Alligator mississippiensis: one gene and its partner. The protein of the gene in region 2 purifies or fractionates together with the protein of the main gene of each other region. This does not show direct contact. Links are inferred from orthologs where the notes say so. Each region holds a gene or a part of one and is shown on either strand. Other genes may lie near its edges. The genes, in order: PPP4R3A and RNGTT.

Region 1 (9,966 bases), on a different chromosome or scaffold from region 2:
GGTTTGAAAAAGGCACAGCATGGAAAGTTTGTATATTTTGGCCTGGCTGGTAGGTTTGGTCCTCAAGTTAATAGACATTTGATAATTTTTTTAAACCCTGGAAATAGAAAGTTTCATTAATTAATGGTACAGTCTCATGTGGACTATTGTGTTTAATTCAGGTCTTTCAACTTTAAAACAGAATATAACAGAAACCAAAGGTGGGCAAATGGACAAAAAACTTTTAAAAATGTGAAAAGATTTTAAGGTGGTCTTTCTCTGTCAACTGAATAGGAGGGAAAATACAATACTGGTATTTAATAAATGAATGGTAGAGAGAACAGAAATTATCCTCCCCATGACTTAAATGAGAACAAGGGGACTGAATGAAAGTGAAACCAACTTTTGTCTCAGAAACATAACCAACAGGCTGAGCTCATCATTATTAGCTTATATTAAGAAGAGATTTACAAGACCTAAATAAAGGATTGACAAATAATGATATGAACTTCTAAAGTCGCAACAGGTGGGTTTAAAAAAAAAAATAGTGCTATAAACCCTGATATTTCAGGGCATAATCCATTCTCTAACAAACTAAGTATAGTAATATTAAAAACTGTGGCAGACAATTTGGAATACATCTGGGTTTAACCAGTGTCAACTGTCATTTCTTTGACAACATGTACCCTACTGGCCTAATATAAATACAGCAGTTCCAATGTTCTAGCTGTTGTGAGTGGCTGTACCACCTGACCAGACAGTAGATAAGATGGACTGCTGGTTGCATTCCCTCTCTGACCTATCTGGAAGGCAGAAATTTCCATCAGCTTCCCTAAGTAAACTGAAACAGGTGCACTACCTTACCAAAAGCAAACCAACCCACAACCCCAAACTGCAGGAAAAAAGGAATCAAAAGGAGGAAGGAAATAAATAATGCCACAGCAAACAAGGGAGCAACAGACAGCAGAGAGCAAACACCGAACTAATGGGGATGTGGAGACAAAGTGAGGGGCAGCAGTCAAATTAAGACCTGTCATACCTATGCACTAGAAATATGGTTTGACTATTTTTAAAGAATTATTTGCTCATATTTATAAATAACTGCACATTACACTGTCATTTATTAAAGTCATTACATAAGAGCAAGCCTTAATGATTGGCTTGTAAACAGCTGACTTTGATACTGAAACTATCTGGTTAATTTGCTTGCTTAAATTTAGGAATAACAGAGAATTAAGTCTGTCATCTCTCATGCTCTAGCCTGTTAAACTTAAAACAGACAGCTACATATTGTATTTTCTTGGGTATCACATGCCCTCCCGGGAACAGGACACACCTTTTCTTGAGATGAATGGGGTGGGTGAGGGGGAGAAAGAGAAGGGGTAGAAATGGAAAGAAAAAGAAAAATCTTTCCTTGAAAATACACATAGGGTATTTTTTTCCCCAATGAAAACAGACACCTGCAGTGACAGGGGAAGGAGAAGCAAAAAGCTATGACTGCTCTGTTAACCCCCTAGCTGTGGGACATAGCAGGTACTGCTGGCTGCCCACCCGGCTTGAGAATTAATGGTCAGCCAGTTTGGCTTACTGGACAGGTCAACAAGAAGGGAAGGGAAGACCAGTTCAGCTCCCAGAGGACTGGACCCTCTGCTCCCTCCATTTTCCACCCCAATTTCCAGTAGCTTATTTTTGGAAAGAAGATGCATTTGTAAAGTTCTGGTCTTGTCTGATATGGTAAACTGTGGGAAAAAAAGTAACAGTTACCAAAGTCCTACTGGTATTAGCCACAAACACTTTGTGCAGAGGATTTCATTACCCAATAACAAACTGCATATACTGTAAAAGGTACAACAGGTGTGACATCTCATTAAATAAGACTACTGTAACTGAAAGCAACAAGTTTGAACACTTTCAGTTGGACAGTTACATATTTTTTTGAAAATATAACGTATATAAATGGGTATTTAGTCATGCTAAAATAAACATTAAAACATTATTTAAAATACTTCATCTCACTCCCACTTTAAAATTACAGCAAAAAAACTACCAACTTGAATGTTATTTAGGTTCAATTCTGCCTTGAGACAACACACAAATTCTACTGAAATCAACGCAAAGACAATACTTTAAAACAGGCTCTGTTGACGCTTCAAATTCAGCCCACTCCATTTTATATATTTAACTCTATGTTTCAGTTTCCTTTGTGAGGCGTTTCAGTTTTATTCTACTTATTTATTAAGGGTCTTCAACAGCAGTCATGGAGACAGAATGTGCTATAATTATATCCATTATAAAGATGCTAAATAAACACAAAAGTAAGCCAGGTTTTAGATACACCACTAATGGTTTCCTCCCTCTACCTCTCAACTCTGGTACTGAGATTCAACAGTGGAAGTCTGTTCCAATCTTGAATGTCTGTCTTATTTCATAAGGGCTAATAGAGGACAGTCTTGAAATGATTTGGTAAAAACCTATTTTATATATATACATCCAGCTTTTGTGTAGTTTGTTATTCTCTAAACTGCTAAATTATCATTAACTGAATCAATCAGGAAGGGTTTTGATTATTAGTTTCCTAAGTTTAAAGTCCTTCACTAGAGGATGTCATGAGTTAGCATAATAGTGAAGGTTCTCAGGACCTTTCCCTCCACTGGCTGAAATCTGTGACCTCACTGAAGTTGTCTAGCTTTAATTTCAGTTTGGTTGCTGCCTGCAACCAACAGCAGTCTGCAAGATGGTCCACAGGACAGAAGGCTCTCACAACTATAAACTTGAGGTTTAACCAGTTAAATCTATCTTCTTTGCTGCTCCGTACCACTATTAACATGAAGCAAGATGTATTTTAAAATAAAATCTGTAGTAACCACAACAACCATTAACTTGTTGATCCAATAGCCATGGATAATTCTTACATAAAACCTACACACAGTGCTCTAGAGAAACATGTTTGGAGTGCCTGGCAAATGGGTAATAAATTCATAAATTCCCTTAAAATGAAGCATTATGCAGCAACTCAAAATCAGTTTTGGTGAGTGTTGAGCGCTGTGGCTAGTCCAAGGGGGGGGGGGGGGGGAAGATACCCAAAAGGTGTTTTTGTACTGCCTTGAAACCAGCAATGCTACAGCATGTGTGGATCTGGCACAAGATGCGCGTTTGCATTTTAAGCCTACAGAACAGATATAAAGACACTAATAAAACTCTGAACAGTTCCTTCCATCAGGGGAAGCCTGTCATCATTTTCAGAAAGGATCCAGGGAAACATTTCCCACAAAGCCAATCCCACAGGCAAAGGCAGAAGACAGCCTGGTTTGCAGCCTGCAACCAGAACGGAGCGTATTTGGCAGGCAGGCCAGTGCCCGCGTATCCAGTGTAAACACCACGCGTACTACAATGTTTGTGCAAGGCGCCAATCTCCAGCCCTATCCCCGCGCCTAACAGGAGTGACCCAGAGCTGTTACCTGGCTGGTTCAGGGATCCCAGATGAAGGGCAGGGGCCAGGCTCACTACAGAAAGCCAAGCCCCAGCTGCTTTCAGCAAGGAAGCGCCGCAACCTCAGACACTTACCATCGCTCTCTGCCCTGACAAGCAGGGACATGCCCTTCAGCCTCTCCACGTAGCCAGAGGACACATGCCCGGTGCCCCGGTCATCCCACTGCCGGTCCTCGTTCAGCGTGTAAACCTTCACCCTCCGCCGGGTGTCAGTCATCCTGCCGCCGGCCGCGCCGCAGCCGCCCGGCCTGGGACACCTGGAGAGACAGGAGGAGGGGGCGGCCCGCACGGGAGGCGGCGGCGGCGGCAGCGGGCAGGGCCCCACGCAGCGGCCGGCGCTCCTCAGGCCGCGGCTCGCATGGCCCGGGCGGGCCGAGGGGGCGCAGCCCGGTCAAGGGCAGGGAGCACGAGTGGCGTCAGAGGGACATCGGCGGCGGCCCGGCTCTATTGTGCGGAGCTGCCCGGCCCCGGCCACGGCCACGGCCCCGCCGCTCGCTCGCTCGCTCCTGCCCCGCTCGCAGCGCGGGGCCGGCGCGGCCTCTCCCCCTGCTCGGCCCGGCGGCGGCGGCCTCAGCGCCCAGCCCGCCCCATGGGCTCCGCTCGCAGGCGGCGGCTTCACTCCTGGCCCGGCTCCGCCGCCATGTTCTCCTTCCTCCGCCGGCGGCGGCTACTGCTGCTGCGGCCTGGCTCCGCGGGCTCGCTGCGTTGCGGGCGGGCGGCCCGACCCGGCCCCGGCCCCGGCCCCCTCCCGTCCGGTCCTGTCGGGTCAGGTCGGGTCCGATCCGGTCCTGTCGGCGGGCGGGGGCGCGGCGCGGCCTGTCCGTCTCCGCCTCAGTCACTGCGCGGCCGCCATCTTGGTCTCACCGCTCACTACAGCGCGGGGTCTCCCAGCCAGCGGCGGCACGGGCCGTCGCCGCTTAAAGGGGCAGCGCACTCGCGGGCGGGAGGTGTCGGCGCTGCGGCACGTGCCGGGGCAGCGCCTCACCTCAGCCCCCCAGCCGTGCACACCCAGCCCGCAGTGCCAGGCCGGGGCAGCCCCACCTCGCGGCGCTTTCCCCTCAGCCGCAGGGCTGCCTCGCGTGGCCACCTCTGGCACGTGGGGGCTCGGCCAGGTGGGATGGCATAGGGGGCACGGCCCAGGTGGCTCCCAGCCGCCCGGTGGGTCAGGGCTTTGAAGTGTACTCTGGGAACGAAGCTGCTCGGGGTGAGAAAACACCTGGGTTGTGTTTCCAGAGCTGCCCTTGTGGGTCAATAGCAAGCTGCTAGAGCCAGGAACTGCAGCCGTAAGGAGCAGCTTGGGGGTACCAAGATCTGCCCCCAGAGTGGCAGAGACAGGCCTACAGCTCATCTGAGGGGAAGGAGCCAACCGGAGATGGCAAAACCATGCCTTGGTGCTCCTGAAACTGCCTGTGTAGGAGCAGAGTGGGGGGCTGAGGTTGTGGTCAGGCAGTCCTAGCAGACGCCCAGCTGGCAAAGAAGCCTGTGCTCTAAGAAGCTTCTTTTTTCCCTTCCTTCCTCCCGCTTACATAGATAGATCATGCTTAAGGCCCAGCTTCAGATGTTGGGTTGCTTCTGTTTTGTCCAATGCAGATGAAGTAATCCTTCTGCAAAAGCATCCTTTCTATTAGGCTCATTCATGGCTAAGCAGTGCAAAAGTTACACGGCTTCTGGACTATACTGAACAGACTGAGATGCGTCTCACCAGCTGCAGTAACAAACAGAAGCTGCTGCTGCTGCCAACATCAGAGCATATGCTTGACAGATTTTTCCTTAAAGACTCCACCAAAATTGAAAAAGTAGGCAACCTCACTGGTGTCTCTGGGACCTTCCTATCCTTCCGCTGCATACAGAGGTCCATTGCAAAAGGCACTTAATTCAGAGGATTAAATCTTTGATTTTTTTGTTCAGTGGACATTGACATTTTTTTATAAGAATAAATTTTGCTAAGCCTAGTGTGCTACAACCCCACCCTGGTAAGGTCTCTCTCCAGCTAACTCTTTTCTTTCCCCATCTTCAATTTTTTGCTATACCCCACTAAGAGAGATTGTGGCTAATCACAAAATCAATAACCAATTCTGAACTCCTCCACAGTTTAGTTGTGTTCAACTGTGGGCATTTATTTGGGACCTACTTCTGGGCCTCAGCAGTGACCATGAGACAACTGGCTGTGAATATGTATTTATCTACCTAATGAAAATGAGAACATTTAACAAAGATGGTAAAATCATACCTTGCCACCGGCACAAACTCTGAAGAGTGGGACTTCAGCCAGGGCATGGCTGAAACTGTATGCAACTGTTTCCTTGACTGCTGTATGCAATGGTCTGAAAGTGTTTGTTGGTTGGTTGGTTGGTTGGAGTTTGTTGTGTTTGTTTGTTTTTGAAAAGCACAGGTTTGGGCCCGAGACATAGGAAAGTCCTCCTGTCTTCTGGCCACATAGTGTGATACTACTTTGGGGAATGGTAGGGAGATACTACTTTGTATGAATGGTCTTCCCTTGTTATACAAAATCAGCCAACTTAAGTGAAAGTTTTAAGGTCTCTTTTGTATGCTTGACACTGTAGTTGGGCATTTAAAAATATTTTGGCAGTCACTGCAAGCATAGCAAAGTGCATCTGAGAGCATATTAGGTAAGCAGGGGTGGTCTCTAGCCATTCTTTTCCCTTGCTCCAAGCAGCTTTTTATTAGCTGTGTCATATTTGGCTAAAACTACATTTAGAATTAGAAAGAAGGAAGAAGAAAACAGTCCCATGGGCTTCAATCTGAAAAACTCTGCTAAAACAAGGGTGACTTAAGGCAGGCTTGTCCAACATACTCTGCATGGGATGGACCCGGCTGGGTCTGCACTAGCCAGGAAAAGCAGCATGCAGCTGAAGCCGGCTTCCCACATGTTGCTGGGGACGGGAGGAGCCCAGCCGGGTCTGCACCGGCCAGCAGAAGTGGTGGCAGAGCCGTGTGCCTCTCAGGATGGGATGAGCCCGGCCGGAGCAGCAGGGGCTCAGCTGCATTTTCCCCCTGCCTGCACCAAGTCAGTCCCAAGTGGCACACAGCTCCGCCACCGCTTCTGCTGGCCAGTGCAGACCTGGCCGGCCTCCTCCCAGCCCCAGCAGCTTGTGAGAAGCCGACTTCAGCCGTGTGCTGCTCCAGATGGGACGGACCCAGCTGGGTCAGCACTAGCCAGGAAAAGTGGCATGCAGCTGAAGCTGGCTTCCCACATGCTTCTGAGGATGGGAGGAGCCCAGCCGGGTCTGCACCGGCCAGCAGATTGGTATTACATGACCAGCCTATGGCTGGGGAGGGGTCAGGCTCCCTAGATCTGAGACTTGATGTAGGCTATGGCACAGAGACTCACTCTGGAACAATGTGCTAATAAACTTGTGTCTGTATCTGCCAGGAACCCAAGTAGCAGGTGGTTGATACCTGGTAAGCTCATGTGAGTAAAAACTGCTTATTGTTTTCTGTATGGCCTTCAAAATGTTTTTATCCTACTAAAATATGCCATGCTTTGTGAGAGTCATTACCTCTGTATGAGAAAGCAGAATCATAGCCACTGGACTAAATTCATGCCCCATAGGAATAATCACAATTCAGCAAAATGGGTGGGAAGGAAAAGGCAGAGTTCTAAGTGTGCACCCTAAAAGAAGCCATGAAAGAGTCAGAAGCACAACCTTAAAACTAGGACAGCTATTGGGTGACGGCAGTCCAGGAGGCATGATGGGAATCCTCTACTCTCATGAGATTTAGGAAAGCAAGAGGACATGAGAGCAACATGTAGGCACAAACAGTGCCGGGCCTTGGAGCCATGTTAATAAGTGAGGACAACTGTATTCCCACTCTGGTCAGTGACTAATTGTGGGTACATCTTCACTAGCTTCAAGCCACTCAAACCTGCTGCCAAAATATAAACCCTTCCTACCCACTTACACTTTTACCTGCTTTGAACTGGAAATGAGGTAGTGAGGGCCCTTCTAGGGTGGTCCAAGGATAGTAGAAGCAGATCACACAGAGAGTGAGAGATGTTCCCAAAATGTCCTCACCATCACATTTCTTCTGAAAAACAGGGATATCCTGAGGTTAATATAATGTTTGTAAAATGCTTGGAGAGCCCCACATAGATGCACTGCATAGAAATGCAAAATATATTTTGACTTATTTGGTTGGCACCTTGGGCTGAGATTTTCAAAGCTGAATCAAAAGGTCAACTTCCATTAAAATGAATGGAATTTAGAGGGCTTCAAATCTTTTATGACAACTTTGTAACATGTCTATCTACCCCTTTTTACAAATCTCAGCCATATTTTGGAAGCTCAGCCAAAGAACAGAAGAGCATAAAAAGTGCCATGCTTGTCCAGCCCAATGGTCCATCTAGCTCAGTATCCTGTCCCAAACAGTGGCAGAGGTGGATGCTATAGAGGGAGAGTTTTGAACTGGTTAGACCCATTTCATTGTCACTTCCTGCAACTTAATTGATGTCAAAGGTCACATGACATCACTTCCTGATGTGATACCGCTTCCTGTGAGGTTTTTGAATATGGCTCACCAGCCCACTAGGTGATAAAAAGTTCATGATCGGGCCCCACATTCAAAGAGGTTGGACACCCCTGATGTAAGGCTTTAAAAAAGCCTTTGATCTGGTGTCCCATAATCTCTTCATAGAAAAATTGACCAACTGTGGCCTCAGCTACATCACAGTCCAATGGCTGGGGAATTGGCTCTGAGGCTGGACCCAGAGAGTGGTAGTTGACGAAGTGAATCATTATGGCACTCTGTGACCAGTGGTGTCCCTAAAGGCTCCATTCTTTGACCTGTTCTCTTTAATGTCTTTATTAACGATGTGGACACTGGTGTCAGAAGTGGACTGGCCAGGTTCGCCGATGACACTAAACTTTGGGGTAGAGCTGTTGGCGACAAAGGACCAACTCACAGGATCATCATAGAATTCTAGTTTATTAGACGGATGCAAAAGTCAGATCATAAACCTTGGGGCTGATCCCCTCAGACACACACATTCATGCACACCTACTCACAGTAGCTAGCTATGAACACTAAGCACCGATGTCAAGATATACCTATCCCCAAGTGCTAGAGTCTGCTGTCGATGGCCAGTCGAGGGTTCTTTCAGTGTGATGTTGCTTCAGAAGGGGGTTGCTGGCTGGTCCTTCTGGCTGGGCAGGCAGGGTGCTGGTCAGGTCAGAAAGGGCGCCATTGGGGGATCATTCTTTGCTGCCTTTTATCCCTCTCTGGCAGACTTTGGTGACTCCCCAATTTTCGGGCTAACCCAATCCAGGGGTAATTGACCTCGTGAGACATCCCCCTTGGTGGTTGCTGGATGGCATCTGTCAGCCCCAGGGGTCACATCCACAGGTACATAAGTCTTGGGAGTCTGTTGATAAAGTTTGATTAATTCACTGCTGTGATTAGTTCAAACCAGGGCCTTTGTACCTTTAACAGTAAAGTTTCAGGGAGTTCCTGGCTCTGTATTAATCCTCTCCTTAGTCTGTGGTTTGGTAGGTGTTAATTGCCACTTGTTAGCCTGTTATCCTGTCTAGCTACTGTGTTACACAATCAACCAAGATTCATTCAGGGACCCACTGCATACAGAGAAGCTGTGGTTTGATTCCTGCCCTTGCTAATATTGTTACATGGTACAACTTACTTTTAAACTTAAAGTACATTTGTTACAAAGTTAAAAAGCATAGAATATAAAACATAGAAGGGTAAAATACCATGGCACATGCAACAAATAGACCAAATACAATGGGGGAAGGGGGACATACTGATGCAGAATACTATTTTATACCCATAAAAGCATCTACAAACTATATTTTATTACAAGTACACCTTATATTCTATAAAAATAACAATAGAAGAAAAGGGAGGAAGGAAGAAAAGGTAGAAAAGAGAAAGCATCCCCCAAAGGGGGCAAATACTGCAAAAGGGGCTTTTTGCCATATGGAAGGGTTTCACATTGGAGGGGGGTGGGCAGGCAAAAAAAAGGTTTCTTGCTACAAAGCGTCCACATTTGAGGATAGGCTGGTGATCCAGGCTGACCTGGATAGGCTCAGAAAGTGGGCAGATATAAACCTGATGACTTTCAATACCGATAAATGCAAGGTGCTCCACCTTGGGGGGGAAAAAACCTGCAGCATGTATATAGGCTTGGCAGTGCTATGTTCACTAGCAGCGCAACCAAGAATGATTGACCACAAGATGAACATGAGTCACCAGTGCAATGTCGCAATTGGTAAAGCAAACAAAATGCTGGCTTGCATCCATAGATGTTTCTCAAGTAACTCTCAGGATGCCATCCTCCCACTGTATTCGGCCTTGGTGAGGCTACAGCTGGAGTACTGCATCCAGTTCTGGGCTCCACAATTCAAGAAGGATGTAGAGAAGCTTGAAAGAGTCCAGAGAAGAGCCACATGCATGATCAAAGGGCAAGAGAACAGGCCTTATGGAGAGAGGCTGAGAGCCGTGGGACTCTTCAGCCTGGAGAAG
Region 2 (9,477 bases):
TCCAAGGGTGCTGAAGAAATTGGCCAATGTCATGGCAGAGCCGCTGGCACGTCTGTTCAAGCATTCATGGTGCTCTGGTCAGGTCCCAGAGGACTGGAAAAGAGCCTATGTGGTCCCTATTTTCAAGAAGGGGAGGAGGAAGGGACCAGGAAACTATAGGCCAATTAGTCTCATCTAAATCCTTGGGAAAACTCTGGAAAAAATCATTAAGGATCACATTTGTGGAAGCCCAGCAGAGGAAATAATGCTGAAAGGAAATCAGTATGAGTTCATTCTGCCTGACTAATCTTGTTTCTTTTTATGACCAGGTCACAAAATGCTTAGATGCAGATGCTGAGGTAGATGTCATTTAACTAGACTTTAAGAAGGCCTTTGATATGGTATCTCATTCTGTTCTCATAAACAAACTGACAGGCTGTGAAGTAGATGATTACACGACCAGGAGGGTGGCAAATTGGCTTAGGGGTTGCATGCAGAGAGTGGTGGTGGACGGGTCGATATCGACCTGGAAAGATGTGGGCCGTGGAGTCCCGCAAGGCTTGGTCCTCGGACTGGTGCTATTCAATGTCTTCATCAGTGACTTGGATGAGGGCATGGAGAGCACCCTGTCCGAGTCTGCAGATGATATCAAATTATGGGGCAAAGTTAACACACCAGAGGGTAGGAAACAGATCGAGGCGGATCTGGACAGGCTGGAAAAAAGAGCAGAACAAAATAGGATGCAGTTCAACAAAGACAAGCGCAAAGTGCTGCACCTGGGCAAAAAGAACTACCAACACACTTACAGGCTGAGGGATGACCTTCCCAGCAGCACAGCAGCAGAAAGGGATCTTGGCGTCATGGTTGACTCCAAGATGAACCTAAGTCATCAATGTGACAAAGTGATCAACAAGGCTAACCACACTTTCTCATGCATTAGCAGATGCACTTCAAGAGGGATGTGGAGAACCTTGAGAGGGCTTAGAGGAGGGCCACTCATATGGTCAGAGGCCTGCAGGCAAGGACCTACAACGAGAGACTGAGGGACCTAGATCTCTTCAGCCTTTGCAAGAGAAGGCTGAGAGGTGATCTTGTGGCTGCCTATAAATTCATCAGGGGAGGGCAGCACGGAATAGGAGATGCTCTATTTACTAGGGCACCCTCTAGAGTAACTAGGAACAATGGCCAAAATTGACAGACAGCAGATTTAGGTTGGACATTAGAAAGAAATTCTTCACAGTAAGGGTTGCCAGAATCTGGAATGGGTTTCCAAGGGAGGTGATACTGTCCCCTACCTTGGGGGTCTTCAAGAGGAGGCTGGACAAGCTCCTAGCAGACCCCAAAGTTCTTTCCTGCCCAGGGCAGGGGGTCAGACTCGATGACCTACTGAGGTTCCTTCCGACCCCAACATCTACGAATCCTATGATACCAATCCAATTTTCGATACACAGCTCTTCAGCTTGAAGCTGATAAGTCTGGTGTGGTGGAAGGGGTGTGTGTGTGGGGAGTGGGGGGATGGCATATCAAGGCCCCTGTGGTGAGGGAGGGAATGGAGCTGGTGCACATGCTGACCAGCCGGGGCAGGGACAGGCATGAGAGAGAGCCACAAGTGGCTCATCCGCAGGGGTGGGGTGTGTGCCACCCAGATCTGCACGGCACAGGGAAGGCTCTAGCTGTGGGCTGGGGTCGGCATAGGATGGAGGCACAGCTCGTTGGGGGGGGCGGCTCCTGCCACTGCGCACGGCTCATCTGGCAGCTCCGGCCACTGTTCCCACTACTCATCCGGGAGGGCATTGGGGGGGGATGTGCCCTCGGATCTGCCCAGCTGGGAAAAGCCTGGCCCCAGCCCGCCCTGCCCCATGCAGATCAGGGGCACACGTCCTGCCTCCCTGTGCCCTCCCGAACGAGCGGCAGCAGAGGTGGGAGCTACCAGACGAGCACTGGACAAGCCACAAACAGCAACGTGAGCTGCACACTTCACTCTCCTTCCTGCGCCCCATACCCACCCCAGCCAGGCAGCCCCTGCCCCGACCCCACGGGGGCCAATGCAAGGGACTCCCTCACCATGGGGGCCTTGATCTGCGCCTCCATGTTCCTTCCCTTTCCACCACACCAGACTTACCAGCTGCATGCAGCTCTTCATGCTGGTGGCTCTGCTGCTCACTGCCTACGTGCTGAGCTGTAGCTGTGTGCATGCACAGGCATTTACTGGACAAGTTATCAGCCACATTGGGCCGATTTCCGATACAGAAAATTTTCTTTACGTCAGTGCTGATCCCACATCAGACCAATGTATCGGTGTACTTCTAACATCCTTAGAAGTGGCCTGGGTACCTCAAAATAAAAGCATCTATGAGGCACACACATTTTGTACAAACGAAGAATCAGAGGGTAAGTAAACCAACAAAACTAAGTGACAAATTTTGAGAGGTTTCTGATGCCAAAAAGAAATCTGGCAGAAGAGATTGGTAGGTCTCTTGAGCCACAAGGATCTAAAGAAAGCAGTCAGAGTACAGTGTGGAAAAACTAAACAAATATACAGGCATGTTGCATCATACGCGCATTTAACTTGCGTGAATTCAACTATATGCAGGTGGGGAGGTGGGGCAGGGCTTGAGTCTGCACACGGCATTGCCGCTTACCTGGAGGCCTGGCCACTACCACGCTGCCAGCGGTGACTGCCTCTGCCTCCGAAACCTCCCACCGCCACCATGGAGCCGCACCCAGAGCTGTGTGGCCAGCTGCCGGGCGTGGCGGTGGCCGGGCAGCGCACAGCCATCCCCACCACCACCCCGCGCTGCACCGCTGCCGCCGGCCGCACAGCTCTAAGCACAGCTCCGTGACGGCGGGAGGTTTTGGAAGCAGAGGCAGTCACCACTGGCATGGTAATATGTGATTTCACTATACACGATTTTCGCTTTACATGCTGCCTTCAGAATGTAACCCCCCGTGTAAGATGCGACATGCCTATATTTGCGCTGGTGTTCACTCTAAAGCAGCAGTTCTCAACCTTTATAAACTCATGGGGCCCCTATGTAACTTGTCAGAATTTAACAGCACCTCACTTCAAAAACAAAAATAGATATACTAGATGATAGCATTGTTATTTAATGCATGCTTAATTATATCACTGTATCATAATGTAACACAAGATGTACCCGGAGTACCAAATCCACTCCTTCAGGCTGCTGGCAGGGATGCTTCCCAGCTCTGCCTGGCCTGACACACATTTGCTCCCGGTGCAGAATGTGAACTTGTCACACATGACCCAGGTCACTGCTGGAGACTGAAAACCAGGGGGGAGGATTTCTGCCCTCACGCCAGAAACAGCCAGTGATCATAGAGACACAGGGACAGCACCTAGCCACCAGGTCCACCTGGCCTGTGGAGACCAGGTGCCGAGCCGTATGCACAAGTGTGAGGGATGCTGAGAAGCAGGGGGTTGAGAAAGAGGCCCCAGGAGGCCCAAGGAAGGGAAGGGAGGGGAGGCCAAGGGGCACGTGCCTAGGGCAGAGCGGGGAAGGAGGTGGTGCTGACCCCAGAGGTACCCGACTGCCAAGCCCGAGGGCCTGCGGCCGGGGGCACCCGGCAGGGCGGAGTGCCCCACACTGGGCAGCTCGTCTCCCTTCGCCCCCGCGGCAGAGGCGGGACACGCCACCGGACCCCGCAGCCCCCGGGCCGGGCCGGGCCGGGCCGGGCCGGCACGCCCCGCTCACCTGCCACCGGCTGCCCCCGCCGGGGGCAGCGCAGCCAGCGCGGCGGGATCTTGCAGAAGGCCATGGCGGCGCCGCCCCCTGCCCCTGCCCCGGCGGCTCCCAGCGCTCCGCGGCCCGCGCCCGCCGCCGTTTCATTCAGCCCCGACTCCGCAACGCCCGCCGCCGGCCCGCCATGCACCGCGCACAGCCACTTCCGCCCCGGCACCTTCCGCTTCCGGCACTGCTCTGCACGCCGGGGGGTGGGGCCTCAGCATCCCCGCCGTGCGGCCCCTGGGGCGGGTGTGGGAGACCCCGCCTGGCCCCGCCCTTCAGTGCCGTCACGTCACTGGGGTCCCGGGGAGACCCGGGGGCGGGGCTTGTGCGCCTTGAGGTGCGAGCAAAACCTAAGGCAGCGTCCAGAGATTAACGCAGAAGCAAACTAGGCGCGTGCCTAGGTTCCTGGGTGAAGAAGGGGTCCAGCTGTGCTTATGTTACACAATATAATTATTGAGTGAAAAAAGTAATATAAACATCTCATCTTCAGCTCAGGAGTTTGCCTAGGGCCCACCAAAGGGTTAACCTGGCAGCTTCATTGAAATGAGTTAAAAACAGCTGCAGGGCTGTGAAACGAGTTACCAGGAGCAGCCGAGGGCTGGCCAAACAGAGGCTGGCTCACCTGGTGGAACAGCAAGACCATTAAAAAAGAAGAGCGGGTCCTTAGTGCTGTGGGAATGAAGAGTTTAGAAGGGGTGGGGTCGATTATAAAGAGCTGTGAAGTCAGTTGACTGCCTCAGCACTGCCTGACTAGAAATGCTGCTGCCACTGCCGGGCAGTTGGTTTTAAACATTAGATGGACAGGACTCCAAGGAGGGTGCAAGTATGCCAGTACTCCCCCAGGATCCACCCCTTTCTGAGGAGATTCCTACACGCTCCAGTTGCAGCTGTGGAGGCAGAACATGGGGGCCCTATGATGCTCATCCAAGGTGCCCCAGTATCAGCCTGGTTAGATGTGCAAACACCTACATGTGATTAGCCCAGAGATTTCAGATAGAAGCCTGTAGTGTCTGAATCATGCCAGCCTGCAGTGCTTTTTTCTTTGGCACAGAAGAAGAGCTCTGTTATTTTTCCACAGACAAAAACCAAAGCTGAAGCAAGACGCTAGTGGCCTCAAGTAGTACCACAGATGTAGTTCTCAGGGGCTGGTAGTGATCAGGCAGAGGCTGCGCAGAACTCAGCCTGTGCTCCAAATCCTGCCAGAGACACTGAGTAAAGACGGTGGGAACTAACCCACACAAAGCATCGTGCTGCCATGCCGAGAGCTTACTTCCAGCATGGCCCCCAGAGTGTGACCTGCCTATATTCAATCCTGCTCCAAATCCAGGATAGGAGGGTGAAGTTGTTCCCAGTACACCAAAGACCAAGCTCTTAAAAACAGCCACAGAGGGGCAGCCTCGCCAAAGCATTTCTGAATTTGGAGCATGTCAGTGGGAGTAGGTGGGAAATGTGTGCATGGAGGTGTCCTGGCCAAAACAAATTGCTGCAGTGTAAACATACCCTTAGACTCACCGGTACCCAACCTAACTAGCTAGGACAAGTCCACACTACTCTGTAGTCAGAAGCCTGATTGTAGACACGCTCCGAGTACAGGGAGTCACTCACAAGCATATTTAGAAAGTGTATAAGAGGCAACAAACAAGTGCGAAGGGTCAGTTCTGATGTCGGTACACTGACTAGTTGCAGTTCGATGAGCAATTTCTTTTTTCCTGTGAAGAAATTATTTGTCCAATGACAGAGTCATGCAGGAACACAGTCAGATTATAGATTTTTTTGTATCTAGAGCTGACAGCACTTTCATAGCTCTATATGACCTTACATACTTTTAACATAAACTTCCCCTTATCATCTGCTGTCCATTACTATGAGATGCAGGCTTTTTTCTTACACAAAGGGCAGTGGTCCTAGGCCCAACAAGAAAATTGTAAGTCTCCTTCAGTTAGGGAGGCCGCTAAGAGCGTAACAGCTGTTTTCAGGGAACAATAAATGAAAAAACCAACAGACAGGACTCTTATAATAAGAGTTTCAAGGGAAAACTCCAAGCAGAAAACACCAGACAGCACCCACTGCCCCTCATCTGTGTTCATGGAGTCTGTGGACACCCCCCAGTGAAACTGCCCAGAGACATGCACAAAGGAGTAACAGAAAAACAGTCCCACAATCATAGATTTCATAGATTTCATAGATGTTCGGGCTGGAAGGGACCCTGGAGGATCATCTAATCCAGCCCCCTGCCCCGGGGCAGGAAGTCAGCAGGGATCATAGGATCCCAGCAAGATAAACATCCAAAAGTGTCTTGAAGACATTCAAAGTAGGTGCTTGAACCACCTCTGGTGGCAGTCTATTCCAAACCTTGGGGGCTTGGACAGTAAAGAAGTTCTTCCTTATGTCTAGCCTGAAACGGTCACAGAGGAGTTTGTGACCATTTGATCTTGTCATCCCTTGGGGCGCTCTGGAATCACTCAGGATTCCCCCAAGCAAGGGCCTCATTTCTGTTCTGGTACATGGCAAGTTTGGCCAGAGCCAGGAGGAGGCTGACTAAGAGATCCCAGGACTTGGCAGGGCCATGGTTAGGGAGTACATAAAATAAAAGGTGTAGGGAGAAGTGCAGCCAGAACCTTAGAAGGAGGTTCCTGAGGAGGTGGTGGAGAGGCTGCAGTTTGGCACACACAAAGAAGGCATGCATCAAGCAGGGCTGGATTAGCCCTTTAGTGGGCCATAGACAAACAAACTTCTGGGCCCCAGGCGAGTTGAGACCCCCGTCCCCAACTCGGTGCTGCCAAGCACCGAGTCAGAGCCGCCACTGGGAAGCAGCCACCACCGAGGCAAGGCCAGCAGAAGGGAGGGGAAGGGAAGGGAGGCAGACGGGGCCATTCGCACCACCGCCATAGAGGGAAACACCAGGGCCTTCCTTGCAACTTAGGGCCGTAGGCATGTACCTAGTTTGCCTATGTGTTAATCTAGCCCTGGCACCAAGATCTCTCTCTGTTGACATGAAGGGCAGGTGTCAGGGGAATCAGTGAAGCAAGTCAGATACCTGCCCATGGAGACAGTTCCATGCAGGACCTGTCAACCAATGTCCCCAATGACTTGTGGGAATATGGGTAGAATATGGGTTGTTCCACTGGGGACTCTCACCCTTCCTGAAGGTGCCCTGCCCATTGGTGTCTAGGCAGGCTTTGAGGGCATCAGAGTGAGTGTGTAATGTGAAGCACAAGAATCTAGAGCTGGCAGCAGTGGGCTGTTCAGAAGTAGACTAGTTTTGTATTCCCCAGCCTGCTAGGATGGTGTGCTAGGGAATGTCGTGGGACCTGTCAAGGCAGGAGCCCCAAGACAAGCTCCAGAGGGTTTGGGGAATGGGCAGTAGGGCTGTGCAAAACAGCGACGTTCCGTTTTGACCAGCATTTCAATGTTTCGAAAGAACAGCGTTCCGTTTCAAATTTTGTTTCGATTTGAAACAGCTGTTCCATTCCGTTCCATTCTGTCAAAACAGGGTTGAAAAGGCAAAACTGTTTTGACGTTTAGCCCATAGAATATAATGAGGAAGGTCAAAACAGCCTATAACTTTGTCATTTCTGGCCTGATTTGGATAAAACATGCAGGAATAGTAGCCTCTGTTGAGGCCACAAAGCCTACTAAGCTTCAAGGAGATAGATGCAGGGTGTTTGGGGAAACTGCACCCCAAAATCTTGAAAGCAAAACTCAAGTCATGTGTATGTGTTAAGCCACAGTGGGGTCAAAACTGCAGGCATGCTAGCCCCTGCTGAGACCACAAAGCCTGTCAAGTTTCAAGGAGATAGGTGCAGGGGTTTGGGGGAAACTGTACTACAAGCTGCAGACAAGCAAAACTCGTGACATGGGTGACACTGTGTGTGTTAAGGCGCAGCAGGGTGAAAGCTGCAGGCTGATAGCCCCTGCTGAGGCCACAAAGCCTGCCAGCTTTCAAGGAGATAGGTGCAGGGGTTCTGGGGCCCTGCACCTCTAGCTGCTGACTGGCAAAACTCATGTCATGGGTGCCTGTGCAACTCTGTCCGTCCTGGGGCACAGGGAGGGGAGAAACTACTGCAGGCTGGGCTGCCAGGCCCTGCTGTGGCCACAAAGCCTGCCAGCTGTCAAGGAGATCGGTGCAGGGGGGTTCTGGGGCCCTGCACCCCTAGCTGCTGACAGGCAAATCTCGTGACATGGGTGCTTGTGCAACTGCTGCCTCTCATCAACCAGCAGGACTGAAGATCCCCGATCACTTGCCGCCACACACCTGGGGGTAATAATTGACCATAGTATGAACATAAGCCGGCGGTGCGATGCTGTAGCCAGCAGGGCCAACAATACTCTAGCATGCATCAATTGATGCATCTCCAGCAAAACCAGCAAAATCATTGCAAAGAAATGATTCTCCTGCTCTACTCGGCTCTACTCGGTATTGGTGAGCCCGCAGCTGGAGCACTGCATCCAGTTCTGGGCTCCGCACTTTTAACAAGGACGTGGTAAAACTTGAGAGAGTCCAGAGAAGGGCTACCCATATGATCAGAGACTTGCACAGCAACCCGTATGAGGAAAGGCTGAGGGATCTGGGACTCTTCAGTCTGAAAAAGAGAAGGCTGAAAGGGGACTTGGTAGCAGCTTACCACTACATCAGAAGCGTACATCTAGGGCTCCCTTGGGGAAAACTAGGAATAATGGTCACAGTCTGGACAGCCTAGTTGTGAAGTAGTTTTTCCTAAGGTTGAGCCTGAAATGATCTTCCAGGAGTTTGTGATCATTACTCCTAGTTTTACCCAATGGTGCCCTGGTGAACAGTTGTGGTTTAACACATACACATGACATGAGTTTTGCTTTCAAGATTTTGGGGGGCAGTTTCCCCAAAGCCCCTGCATCTATCTCCTTAAAATTTAGCAGGCTTTGTGGCCTCAGCAGGGGCTACCATTCCTGCAAGTTTCATCCAAATCAGGCCAGAAATGACAAAGTTATAAGCTGTTTCAACCTTCCCCATTATGGCGTATGGGCGAAACGTTTCGACTTGCCTCATTTTGTTTCGAGGCTGTTTCGACCATATCTGTTCCATTTCGATTTTGCTGTTTTGACCTTGAAATGAGTTGAAACAGCGTTGAAACAAAACTGGTGGCAAAATTTTGCACAGCCCTAGTGGGCAGGCAGGGACTGCCCTTGTACTGGACCTTGGTGAGATGTAGGATTCTGGGCTAGATGGACCTGTGGTCAAAACCAGTATGGTATTTTTATGTTCTCTCATGTTAAAAATATAGCACTTGTCTGGGGAAAATACAGAATTGTTGTTATGTAGTTAACCAGGACCTCAACACCAATTCTGAAGAAGGGACCATTGTTCCTGGGCAGGGAGCACAGCAATGGGTCACACAGTGACTGGATTGGAAGAGGGGTGCTGGGCAGGGGAGGGGCAGTTCACCTCCAGAGTTAGCTGAGCTAATTTGGCCTGCTGTACCTAAAAGGTTGCTAACCCCTGGCATAAAAGATTAAATAGATTTTTTAAAGACTTTCCTTTAATTTAATGACCAACTGAATTAATTTGCCATGTGATTGTTTAATGCCTGTGCTGGACTGTATGCACTATTTATATATACTATAAATGCTTTTGGGTGTTTACTACTAAATTGTAGTAAAATTAGTTGATTGTCAATAAACCTTTACTCTTATTTAAACCTAAATAACTAGTCATTTTGTATCCCAGTAATATTTGCATCATGATGGTGTTGAAAGAGAAAATTATTGTCTT

Evidence for each region.
Region 1: the proteins of RNGTT (region 2) and PPP4R3A purify together in Homo sapiens (affinity purification with mass spectrometry; 3 studies listed by BioGRID and IntAct, with this or other methods). This does not show direct contact. The link is inferred for Alligator mississippiensis from reciprocal best matches to the Homo sapiens genes RNGTT and PPP4R3A.

What each region holds. Positions count from the first base shown.
Region 1 is NC_081825.1:274,844,178-274,854,143, forward strand, and holds the start of PPP4R3A (serine/threonine-protein phosphatase 4 regulatory subunit 3A), read right to left. Parts: upstream 4,347-9,966; 5' UTR 3,686-4,346; coding exon 3,544-3,685; intron 1-3,543. UniProt on the Homo sapiens protein: Regulatory subunit of serine/threonine-protein phosphatase 4. May regulate the activity of PPP4C at centrosomal microtubule organizing centers.
Region 2 is NC_081824.1:76,588,974-76,598,450, forward strand, and holds the start of RNGTT (mRNA-capping enzyme), read right to left. Parts: upstream 3,847-9,477; 5' UTR 3,831-3,846; coding exon of another isoform or gene 3,760-3,830; coding exon 3,696-3,759; intron 1-3,695.